Linked DNA regions of Callithrix jacchus. The protein of the gene in region 3 binds, or shares a complex with, the protein of the main gene of each other region. Links are inferred from orthologs where the notes say so. Each region holds a gene or a part of one and is shown on either strand. Other genes may lie near its edges. The genes, in order: POLR2D, ERCC3 and GTF2F1.

Region 1 (4,218 bases), on a different chromosome or scaffold from region 3:
CACAGTTGGCCCTGCAGAACTCGCATACAAAAAGCCTGCCTGCCCTCTGTATCCTCAGTTTCACAGCCTGATCCAAGTTTGGTTGGAAAAAGCCCTGCGTATAAGTGGACCGTGCAGTTCAAGCCTGTGTTGTTCACAGTCAACTGTATCCAATTCAGCAAAATTTTCATGTGTACCAGACACTACCTGATTTCATCAAAAATTATATGCAGAGTGTAATAAACTCACTAAGCAAAAAGTACCTACACAAAACCCAAGTACAAAAAAATCTGTGTATCATCAAATTAAGAAAAGCATCTTTTTAGTTATCCCTTAAAAAAGAAACTATTATTTCTATCATGCCAAAAACTTTCATAAATCTACCTATGGAAACATATGACCCTCATTCCATAAATAAAAAACTGAAAGGAGGCTGGGCACCACCAGTCCCAGCTATTGGGAGGCTGCGGAAGAACTGCTTAAGCCCAGGAGTCTGAGGCTGTGCTATTACTGAGCCTGTGAATAACCACTGCAGTCCAACCTGGGAAACACAGTGAGACCCTGTCTCTTAAAAAAAAAAACAGAAAACCGGCCCGGCGCGGTGGCTCGCGCCTATAATGCCAGCACTTTGGGAGGCCGAGGCGGGTGGATCACGAGGTCAAGAGATCGAGACCATCCTGGTCAACATGGTGAAACCCCATCTCTACTAAAAATTACAAAAAATTGGCTGGGCACGGTGGCGCGTGCCTGTAGTCCCAGCTACTCGGGAGGCTGAGGCAGAATTGCCTGAACCCAGGGGGCGGAGGTTGCGGTGAGCCGAGATTGCGCCATTGCACTCCAGCCTGGGTAACAAGAGCGAAACTCCGTCTCAAAAAAAAAGAGACCGAGACCATGCTGGTCAACAAGGTGAAACCCCGTCTCTACTAAAAATACAAAAATTAGCTGGGCATGGTGGCGCGTGCCTGTAATCCCAGCTACTCGGGAGGGTGAGGCAGGAGAATTGCTTGAACCCAGAAGGCGGAGGTTGCGGTAAGCCGAGATCGTGCCATTGCACTCCAGTCTGGGTAACAACAGCGAAACTCGGTCTCAAAAAAAAAACAAAAAACAAAAAATCAAAAAAACCCAGAAAACCCTCCAAACACTGGAAGTAACTTCTATCTCTAACAACAAAAAAACAGCATTAAGGTACAATCAATAAGTACTACCTAGCCCATTAAAAGAGTAAGAGGGTGCGCGCAGTAGGTCACACCTGTACTCCCAGCACTTTAGGAGGCCAAGGTGGGCGGATCACGAGGTCAGGAGTTCAAGATCAGCCTGGCCAACATGGTGAAATCCCATCTCTATTAAAAATACAAAAATTAGCAGGGCTTGGGCGCACCTGAAATCCCAGCTACTCCAGAGGCTAAGGAAGGAGATATGCTTGAACTCAGGAGGTGGAGGTTGCAGTGAACCGAGATCGCACCATTGCACTCCAGCCTGGTCAACAGAGCGAGACTGTCTCCAAAAAAAAAAAGAGTAAGTTAGGGCCGGGCGTGGTGGCTCAAGCCTGTAATCCCAGCACTTTGGGAGGCCTAGACGGGTGGGATCACGAGGTCGAGAGATCGAGATCCTGGTCAACATGGTGAAACCCCGTCTCTACTAAATACAAAAAATTAGCTGGGCATGATAGTGCATGCCTGTAATCCCAGCTACTCCGGAGGCTGAGGCAGGAGAATTGCCTGAACCCAGGAAGCGGAGCTTGCGGTGAGCCGAGATCGCGCCATTGCACTCCAGCCTGGGTAACAAGAGCGAAACTCCGTCTCGGGTGGGGGAAAAATAAAAAAAGAATAAGATAGGTCAGGTGCTGTGGCTCACTTGAGCTCAGGAGTTTGAGACCAGCCTGGGAAACATAGTGAGACCTTGCCTTTACAAAAAAAAAAAAAATTTAATGAGCCAGGTATGGGGGCATGTACCTGTGGTCCTAGCTACTTGGGAGGCTGAGGTGAGAGGATCGCTTGAGCCAGAGAGGTTGAGGCTGCAGTGAGCTCTGATCTTGCCACTACATTACAGCCTAGACAACAGGGCGAGACCCTATCTCAAACAATCAATAAAGAGTAAGATAGCTGTATACAATATACTGTAAAGTTCTTGAGCTGAAGACCTCATCCCTAAGAATAGCCTCCCCTTGATCACCATAAACCGCTTAAAGTGCGTGCCTGAGAAAACTGAAGGCTACCAAAATAATTTTTTGTTCTACCCAACAGCTGAAGACAGCCCTGTCTCTCCGTCTCAGGGGGAAGGTAGGGGCCTAACTTCGATAGGTGCGCCAGTAAACAAACCACTGTGGGTTCACACGGACCAAGCCTCGTCTTCCCGGTTTTTTAAATATCTCACTTCCCTGACTCCCCTGAGCCCCCGCTCACCACAACCTATTCCCTAATTCTCCCTTAAAACGCCCAGAGGTTTTGTACTAATCGAAGCTGAGTTCGCTTCACGCTGGACTCTTTTCCATAGCGCAACAGTTAGTTTAAAATCTGACCTTACCACCTGAGTGTCCGGCTTTATTTATCTTTAACACAACCCGCCGGAACTTCGCAGTCTGCTATCACATAAAATAACCCACTTGGCCAGGCGGCCCCTCCCGGTTCCATGTTTCCTCCCCAGCACTACAACGCGCCAGGGTTTGCCTGAGCCGCCGCTGAGGCCAGGCCTCGGGCGAAGCGTGGCTAACGCCAGGCCTGCGGGGACCACGCAAAGTGGCGCGGGAGAGTCTGGCAGCCCGAGCCCAACCTTTAGGAAAGATGAGCTGTGAGGCGTCCTCCTCTACGTCGCCAGCCCGCGGATCGCTGCCGCCAGCCGCCATCACCGCACGGCCCGCCACCACCCACGCTGCCGGAAGCGGAAGCGCGGAGAACGGCAGCAGAAGGGGCGTGGCCTCAGGCGGGGCACCGAGGGGTGGGCGGGGCGCCGAGGGTGGGCCTGGCCCGGCGCGACTAGAGGACGGGTTGGTGAGGTCTGGGAAACTCCTAGCCGCCGAGGGGTACCCTGCGCGGGATTGGGGTCCGCCGCACTCTCTCTCTCTCTTCTCCAATGCGCCTCACCGCGCGGACGTCCTGGGGCAGCCCCTAAGCCTTTCTGGGCAGAGAGGGTCAGATGAGATGCAGGAACGCCTGCTGATGGAAAGCAGGATTGGCGCCTCAGAACGCGCCCGGTCCAATTTCCTTTACTGACTTAAACTTTTAAAACTGTATTGATTTCTGGGGGATATTTGATACTTCTGAGCATGCGGACAATGATATTCGAAGGCTTTAACCACACGTCTGTTGGAACATTTGGATGATGCGTAGAAAATTAAGCAAATGACGGCTGAGCGCGGTGGCTCACGCCTGTTATCGCAGCACTTTGGGAGGGCGAGGCGGGCGGATCACCTGAGGTCAGGAGTTTGAGACCAGCCTGGCCAACGGGGTGAAACCCCATCTCTACTACAAATACAAAAATTAGGCGGGCGTGGTGGTGGGCGCCTGTGATCCCAGCTACTCGGGAGGCTGAAGCAAGAAAATCGCTTGAACCCGGGAGGTGGAGGTTGCGACACTGCACTCCAGTTTGGGCGAGTGAGCGAAACTCTGTCTCAAAAAAAAAAAAGAAAAAGCAAATGAAAAGTGATGCTGTTTTCAACACTGGAGAAAGGGCAAAAGGCTGTACAATAAAGGAAATAATCATAGCTTATTAGTCAACAATCTCGGCTCATTAGTCAACAATGTTTATTTAGATGGTCATATTGTAAACTCTGTTGATTTAATAAAAAATGAATTGGGCTGGGCACGGTGGCTCAGGCCCGTAATTCCAGCACTTTGGGAGGCCGAGCCTGGAGGATGGCTTGAGCTCCAGAGTTCAAGACCTGCCTGGATAACACGGTGAGACCTCACCTCTAAAAACTATAGAAATCGGCTCGGCGCGGTGGCTCATACCTGTAATCCTAGCACTTGGGGAGGCTGAGGCGGGTGGATCACGAGGTCAGGAGTTCGAGACCAGCCTGGCCAATATGGCGAAACCCCACCTCTACCAAAAATTCAAATATTAGCCCGGTGTGGTGTCACGCACCTGTAGTCCCAGCTACTGGGGAGGGTGAAGCAGAATCGCTTGAACCCAGAAGGCAGAGGTTGCAGTGAGCCAAGATCACTCCACTTCACTCCAGCCTGGGCGACAGAGCAAGACTCCATCTCAAAAAAAAAAAAAAAAAAAAGAAAGCGGGGCGTGCCG
Region 2 (3,612 bases), on a different chromosome or scaffold from region 3:
GGCATGCTGTACCCCAGTGGCGTTACTGTCCTTTGGCTGTGGGCAAGGTAAGGTACTCCTCGGCTTTAGTGTTTCTTTTTTCTTTTCAAGACAAAGTCTTGCTCTGTCGTCCAGGCTGGAGTGTGCTGTGGCACCATCTCGGCTCACTACAACCTCCGCCTCCTGAGTTCAAGTAGTCTCCTGAATACCTGTGATTATAGGTGCCTGCCACCATGCCCATCTAATTTTTTGTATTTTTAGTAAAGGTGGGTTTCACCATGTTGGCCAGGCTGGTCTTAAACTCCTGACCTCAAGTGATCCACCCACCTTGGCCTCCCAAAGTGCCGTGATTACAGGTGTGAGCCACCACACCCAGCCTGGTTTTTCTGTCTTTAAAATGGCAGTAGTAGGCATTTCTCTTCTCACTGGTTTGAGATTTTAACATTTAAATGAGATACATGTGAAGTGCTGCAGTAGGCCCCAGCACCTGCTAATTCTCACATGTGTGTGAGGTGGGCGTGTCTTCTCATTATAAAGAAGAAAACAGGCTGGAGCCATGTGTGTCACACAGATGTCAGCTCTGCAAACTATTACAAGACATTGTCCTAGATTGCTGTACTTAAGAGTCACTCTGCCTGTTCCTGTCCTTCATTTCAGCCTATCCTTGGGTGGGAACTTAATGTTGTTTCTTGTAGGTGCTGGAAAGTCCCTGGTTGGTGTGACTGCTGCATGCACTGTCAGAAAACGCTGTTTGGTGCTGGGCAACTCAGCTGTTTCTGTGGAGCAGTGGAAAGCCCAGTTCAAGATGTGGTCCACCATTGACGACAGCCAGATCTGCCGGTTCACCTCCGACGCCAAGGACAAGCCCATTGGCTGCTCCGTTGCCATTAGCACCTACTCCATGCTGGGCCACACCACCAAAAGGTCCTGGGAGGCCGAGCGAGTCATGGAGTGGCTCAAGACCCAGGAGTGGGGCCTCATGATCCTGGACGAAGTGCACACTATACCAGGTAAGCCGTCTGGAGTTGAGCTGTCCGCTTGTTGAACAGACAGACCAATTTCCATTTGTTAGTTTGGGAGAGGGACTGCTGTGTAGCCCACCCAACTGGCTAAAAAGAAGTGTTGGGTAAAGCTTTTTAATAATGCTTAAGTTTGGGTGGGATGCAGGCAGGAGTGTTCACATTTACAGCTTTCTTAATCACTGGCTCAGTAGTCATATAGAAAATGAAACTTTCTTTCCTCCATCTTTCTTTTGCTGCTCAGCTTAATCAGTTTTTTAATGGCCCTCTAAAAACTGGATTAGGAGCACTGAAAAACCCTTCCGCAGCGGTGGTGATGTGTTTTCTTTGAAGCCTGAAATGTTGATTCTTAGTCAGTATGTAAAAGAAGCCCTGCTTCTTCGAGTATTACGGGCAAACCTTTTTTAAAGCTGCTGTATTGATTTAATTTATATACCATAAAATCACACCTTGCAAATATGTAATCCAGTGCGTTGTAGTAAATTTGTGGAGCAGTGTGCAGCCATTACCATGATCCAAGTTTTTTTTTTTTTCCTGCGATGGCATCTCACTCTGTTGCCCAGGCTGGAGTGCCGTGGTGTGATCTTGGCTCACGGCAACCTCTGCCTCTTTGGTTCAAGTGATTCCCCTACCTCAGCCTCCCGAGTAGCTGGCTAATTTTGTATTTTTTTTTTTTTGAGGCGGAGTTTCGCTTTTGTTGCCCAGGCTGCAATGACATGGTCTTGGCTCACTGCAACCTCTGCCTCCCGGGTTCAAGCGATTCTCCTGTCTTAGCCTCCCGAGTAGCTGGGATTACAGGCATGCGCCACCATGCTAATTTTGTATTTTTAGTAGAGACAGGGTTTCTCCATTTTGGTCAGGCTGGTATCGAACTCCTGACTTCAGATGATCCACCCGCCTCAGCCTCCCAAAGTGCTGGGATTACAGGTGTGAGCCACCACGCCTGGCCAAATTTCTGTATTTTTAGTAGAGACGGGGTTTTGCCATCTTGGCCAGGCTGGTCTTGTACTCCAGCCTCATGTGATCTGCCCGCCTGGGTCTCCCAAAGTACTGGGATTACAGATGTGAGCCACTGCATCCAGCCACCATGATCCAGTTTTAGACTTCCTTTATACTCATTTGCAGTCAGTCTTTGTTTCTTTGTCTGGTTCAGGCGGCCACTGAACTGCTTTCTGTCACTATAGATTTATGGAAAATTTATTTTCTTATGTCTGGCTTCTTTTACTTCACATAATGGTTCATATGTGCCTTAGCATTTATCAGTAATTTGTTTCTTTTATAACTGCATAGTTTTTTGGGTGAATCTTTTTTGATAAAAACAGATTAAGGGATTTTGATTAACAGGTTAGTGCTGTGCATGGTGGCTGACACCTGTAGTCCTCTAGCGCTTTGGGAGGTGAAGGCAGGAGAATTGCTTGAGCGCAGGAGATTAAGATCAGCCTGGGTCACATAGTGACACATGTCTCTACAAAAAAGTTTTTTTAATTAGCCAAATGTGGTGGCGTGCACCTGTGGTCCCTGCTGCTCAGGAAGCTGAGGTGGGAGGATCACTTGAACCTGGGAGGTTGAGGCTGCAGTGAACCATGATTGTGCAACTGCACTCTAGCATGGGTGACGGAGTGTGAGACCCTATCTCCAAAAAAAAAAAGAAGAACGATTAGGGTAAATTAAGAAGTCTGGAATAGACGTTTCTATGAACAAAATGAAATCTGAGGCATTTCCCAGGTAGTGTTCAAAATGTTGTCAAAATGGCCCCCGCATCTGGCTCTTTCTGTGCACTGATGAGTTTCAGGAGATACCTAGAGATGTTCACAGCTGGCCAGGGAGGGATTGGAGGTCTTTCTGATGGGTGTTGCAGGGTATGGGTTCTGCTGTGGGAAAGTACTTGGCACAGAGAGACAGCACAAGATGGCCATGCTGCCAGAGGAGAAAGAACATAGAAACAGTAGTCAAGGCTGAGGAAGGATAGAGGTATTGGGGCAGATCTTGTAGGACCTTGTAGGCGACAGCAAGAACTTTGGTGTTGTACTCTTAGTGTGAAGACATCTAAGGGGTTTGAGCAGAGGGTGATGTGAGCTGACTTTACACTCTAAAAATACCACCCTGGCTGCTGTGCCGGGAATAGACTGAGGGAAGCAAGATGGAAGCAGTGAAGTGGGTTTGTAGAATTCCAATAAGAAGTGTGAACCAGTAAGGATGAAAGTATGATCCAACTCTGGATTTGTAGTGAAGCTTTTAACTCACAGGTCAAATGGGGGGATCAGAGAGAGAAATCAGGAATGACACTAAGGTTTTTGGCTCAAACAAAGGGAAGATAGAGTGGGCAGTGCTATCAGAGATGGGGGACATTGTCAAAGGAGCTGGTCTGGAAGGTGACTATCAGAAGTAGCGCTTTAGATATATGAATTTGAGTTTCCTGTTAGATATTTAGGCAATGGCAAAAAGGTAAAAAAATAGGCAAAAGAAATTGACAGACATTTCACCAAAAAAGGCATTACTTATGTCAAAGAAGCACCTGAAAAAGTATTCAACCTTATTAGCCATCAGGGAACTGTAAGTTAAACCTACCCGCAGGATGTTCCTGTATGCCAATTAGAGTGGCCAGAATAAAAAA
Region 3 (4,194 bases):
CCCAGGAGGCAGAGGTTGCAGTGAGCACAGATCACACCACTTCACTCTAGCCTGGGCAACAGAGCAAGACTCCATCTCAAAAAAATAAAGAAAGAAAATAAAGCGACCGGGCGCGGTGGCTCAAGCCTGTAATCCCAGCACTTTGGGAGGCCGAGGCGGGTGGATCACGAGGTCAAGAGATTGAGACCATCCTGGTCAACATGGTGAAACCCCGTCTCTACTAAAAATGCAAAAAATTAGCTGGGCACGGTGGCACGTGCCTGTAATCCCAGCTACTCATGAGGCTGAGGCAGGAGAATTGCCTGAACCCAGGAGGCGGAGGTTGCGGTGAGCCGAGATCGCGCTGCACTCCAGCCTGGGTAACAAGAGCAAAACTCCGTCTCAAAAAAAAAAAGAAAAAAAGAAAGAAAGAAAATAAAAAGGTCAGGCACAGTGGCTCACACCTGTAATCCCAGCACTTTCAGAGGCCAAGGTGGGTGGATCACCTGAGGTCAGGAGTTCGAGACCAGTCTGACCAACATGGTGTAACCCCATCTCTACCAAAAATACAAAAATTAGGTGGGAGTGGGGGTGGGCACCTGTAATCCCAGCTACATGAGAGACTAAGGCAAGAGAATGGCTTGAACCTGGGAGTTGAAGGTTGCAGTGAGCTGAGGTCGTGCCATTGCACTCCATCCTGGGCAACAAAAGTGAAACACCATCACAAAAAAATAAATTTAAATAAATAAAAAGAAATTCATTGTGCCAAACTTGTTGACAGTAAGACACCAAAATCTCTAAAATGTAACCATTAATCATGACCTATGTGGCCAATAAGGTCCCAATTACCCTTAAGCTCTTGCTTCAAGGTCCATATGTACCATTTCCAAAACACTCTAGAATCCAGCCACATCTCATCACCTTCACGGCCTCCACATCCCCAGGCCAGGACTCACCTAGACCAGTCAGCCCAGTTGCTTCCACCCTGTTCTCCCTTTATCCGCCCTCAAACCCACAGTTTGCCTCCCCACAGCAGCCAGATCACAATACAACTTCCCCGTGGAGGATGCTTTAATGGCTCCCACAGTCCTTTCTAGAGCCTCTGATGGCAGGGGCTCTGGGGAAGGCCCTAGCCCAGTCCCCTCCCTCAGCCAGATAAACCTTGGCAAAAATGGCCATCAGTGGGCACAACTTCTAAATGTTCTCCATTAAGGAATGGCCTCCTGTGGTCCTACTAAACGTAACTTACAGGGACACCCAGGAGCTTGGCCTGGGCCTTTGCCATCTTTTTTTTTTTTTTTTTTTTTTTTTGAGACAGGTCTTACTCTGTCACCAGGCTGGAGTGCAGTAGTGTAATCATAGCTCACTGCAGCCTTCAACTCCTGGGGTCAAGTGATCCTCCTACCTCAGCCTCCTGTGCAGGACTACAGATGCACACTACCACATCCAGCTAATTATTTTATTTTTGGTAGAGATAGGGTCTTGCTATATTGCCCAGGCTGGTCTTGAACTCCTGGCCTTAGGCAAGCCTCCTGCCTTGGCCTCCCAAGTGCTAAGATTACAGGTACAAACTACTGCACCCAACTCTTTGTCATCTACCTTATCTCCACTTGGGAAAAGTGAGAAAATTAAGACTTAGTTACTATGACAGCTAAGCAACTATTACAACCACCAAGGTCAGGGTCAGGTTCTCTCACCACCCCAGCCCCCGACCCCCAGGACCCAGGGACTTACCTGATTCCACGTGGCAAAGTTGACTTTATCAGCTGCATTAAAAGCCATGATGTTATATTTTTTGGTTGTATTCCTAGAGTGGATTAGAAGAGATAGAGCCAATCCAATACATCAATTCAATTCAATCATTAATTTAATCAATCAATGTGAACACATCATTAATTCAATCAAATCATTAATTCGATCGTTCCATTCAACTGAACCATTAATTCAAGCATTCCATTCCACTGAATCATTAATTCAGTCACTCAACAAACCCACCCTGGTTCATTCAGTCTGTTTTGCCTGTCAACACTGGATACGGAAGACTGCAGGAATCCCAGTCTGCCAGAGAAGCTAGACCCCATCCCCTCTTAACTGCGTGCAGACGAAGAACAAATGGAGGAACAAAGATTGGGAGAAACCCAAGATGTGGAGATTATTGGGAACTCAGCCTTGGGGAGGAGGGAGGTCAGTCAGGGAGTGCTTCCTGGAGGAAGATGATACTGGAGCTGAGTTTTGCAGAATCAACAAGAATTCACCCAACAGAGTCACCGTTTGGGGGCTGAGGGGAGGCACTCATGGCAGAGGGAACGGGATGTACAAAGGCCTGGAAAGGAAAGGCAGCCTGCTCGCTTTGAAAGAGGACGAGACAGCCTGGGCATCATATGCTCTCGAACGTTAGGCCAGGAGGCTGAATCGTGCTGTGTATTAATGCACTCATTCATACAAAAAGCAGTGTTTGCCTCCAGAGAAGCCTCAGCTTAATCGCAGCCCTGCCCTCCAAGTCCCCCGGTCTGGAGGGAGAACCACAGACAGGGCCAGAAACGTCAGGCTAAGAGGACCGTAAAGGTTTTCACTTTTGCGGGGTGGAGAGGAGTGGGAGATGGGGTAGGGGATTTACTTCGGAACTCGAACGACGTATTCAGTGACATTCTGGCTGCTGGGGCCCTGCGGAAAGAGGAAGCGGACGGTGAGTAAGGTGCCGCCGAGGTCGCCGCCGGGACCCCCGAACCCCGCCAAATCCACACTCACTAGGGCCGCCATGGGCAATGGTCAGTGGTTCCGTGGTCCGACCCGGGTTCCTTTCTTCTCCTCTGGCTAGCGCGTCCCTCGATCTCGGGGAAGCCGCCGTTCCTTGTCGGGTCTCTGTTCCGGTCCCCGTGTGAGGATTCCTACCCTAGGCGCCTCTGGCACTGGGAAAGGGTAACCGGAAGAGGCGTTCAGGTTATTCCGTCTACGCCTCCGCGGCCGCCTAACCCGGAAGCTAAACCCTCCAGCGGCCGCGTCGCGATGGCAACCTTCTAAGCGGCTGTGGCTACCTCAATGCGCCGTCACTTATGTTCCTCGGCGTCTATGGCCACCTCAAAAGAGCCACCCCTGCCCCTTTTCAGACGCAACAAGGCCGAGTCTGAGATCAAATAACCGGCCTTGGTCGCTGATGCTCCTATGTACAGTGCGGTCATCAAATGTGGGACCGCCCTCCTTCGTGACGTCAGCACCCAAGGACCGCAGGGCATCCTGGGTGGGAAGAAGGAAGCTAGTCCTCCTTGCGGGCTCCCAGGCGCTTTGCGCATGCGTCATGCCGCTCGGGACTTTGGGGCTTGGAAGGCCGCGTCACCATAGCAACTGAGGCCTACTCGGGTCCAGTCGAACTGCCGCTTGGCTCCCTATGGGCCTGTTTGGGGTTCGTTTCCTCTACCTGCCCAGAAGGGGTGGACCCCGTCATTCCCGCAAAATGACCGGAGCGGGGACCCTTGTGACGTTGAGCCGAGCCAGGAGGGGTCAGAGCCTGCCCGGAATCGGGGCGCGACCACCCCAAGGGCTGCTGGCGGGATGGGTCTCTGCAAGTCCAAGCTGCCCCAAATGGGCAGGGCTCTGAGGCCCCCGGAGAAGAGTAACGTCGTGGGGGTGGCTGGCTGGCTTACTGGGGGGAAGGGAAGGAGGCTGCAGAGGACGGGAGGGAGGTGCAAGTTCCCCTACCCCATTCCAGGCGTGCACACACCCCTCAAGCCTGGCAGTAACACAATTGCGCATGCTCACAGCACAACCATTCATTGCTCTAGTTCGGAAATACTCAAGCACGCTGCTGGGTTCCGGGCTCCGCCAGGTGAATATATCAAACCAGCTCTCTGTCCTCTGCGGGTTACAGTGTCGTGGCGGAGACTCATAAAATGGGAATCTACAACCCAGGAAGGAGCAGGAGAAGCACAGCGGGGCTCTGAGGGCTCAGAGAAGACGGGAGGTTTCAGTTGGCCACTGAGGGATGCATAGGAGTTGTAGGCTACGCAGAGGGAAGGGGAACAAGACATGTCTGGTTTCATTTATTCCTCATCCACTAAATGTCAAGAACTGCCAACTCCTCGGAATGTAGGAGTGAGAGAGGCAGAAGTAGTCTGGGGTGTAAACTTTTTAATTCCTGTAGTGGGTTAGTGTAGGGGGTAGACCCCATAAGTTCTGGGGAGTCAGAAGCCTCAGAAATGTCATTAATTTATATTCCCG

Evidence for each region.
Region 1: GTF2F1 (region 3) and POLR2D share a complex: the UniProt entries of both Homo sapiens proteins name them as parts of the TBP-based Pol II pre-initiation complex. The link is inferred for Callithrix jacchus from reciprocal best matches to the Homo sapiens genes GTF2F1 and POLR2D.
Region 2: GTF2F1 (region 3) and ERCC3 share a complex: the UniProt entries of both Homo sapiens proteins name them as parts of the TBP-based Pol II pre-initiation complex. The link is inferred for Callithrix jacchus from reciprocal best matches to the Homo sapiens genes GTF2F1 and ERCC3.

The regions. Positions count from the first base shown.
Region 1 is NC_133507.1:36,558,639-36,562,856, reverse strand, and holds the start of POLR2D (DNA-directed RNA polymerase II subunit RPB4), read right to left. Parts: upstream 2,845-4,218; 5' UTR 2,822-2,844; coding exon 2,749-2,821; intron 1-2,748. UniProt on the Homo sapiens protein: Core component of RNA polymerase II (Pol II), a DNA-dependent RNA polymerase which synthesizes mRNA precursors and many functional non-coding RNAs using the four ribonucleoside triphosphates as substrates.
Region 2 is NC_133507.1:37,190,330-37,193,941, forward strand, and holds part of ERCC3 (general transcription and DNA repair factor IIH helicase/translocase subunit XPB), read left to right. Parts: intron 1-674; coding exon 675-989; intron 990-3,612. UniProt on the Homo sapiens protein: ATP-dependent 3'-5' DNA helicase/translocase. Binds dsDNA rather than ssDNA, unzipping it in a translocase rather than classical helicase activity. Component of the general transcription and DNA repair factor IIH (TFIIH) core complex.
Region 3 is NC_133523.1:6,031,110-6,035,303, forward strand, and holds the start of GTF2F1 (general transcription factor IIF subunit 1), read right to left. Parts: upstream 2,894-4,194; 5' UTR 2,740-2,893; coding exon 2,728-2,739; intron 2,644-2,727; coding exon 2,597-2,643; intron 1,787-2,596; coding exon 1,714-1,786; intron 1-1,713. UniProt on the Homo sapiens protein: TFIIF is a general transcription initiation factor that binds to RNA polymerase II and helps to recruit it to the initiation complex in collaboration with TFIIB. It promotes transcription elongation.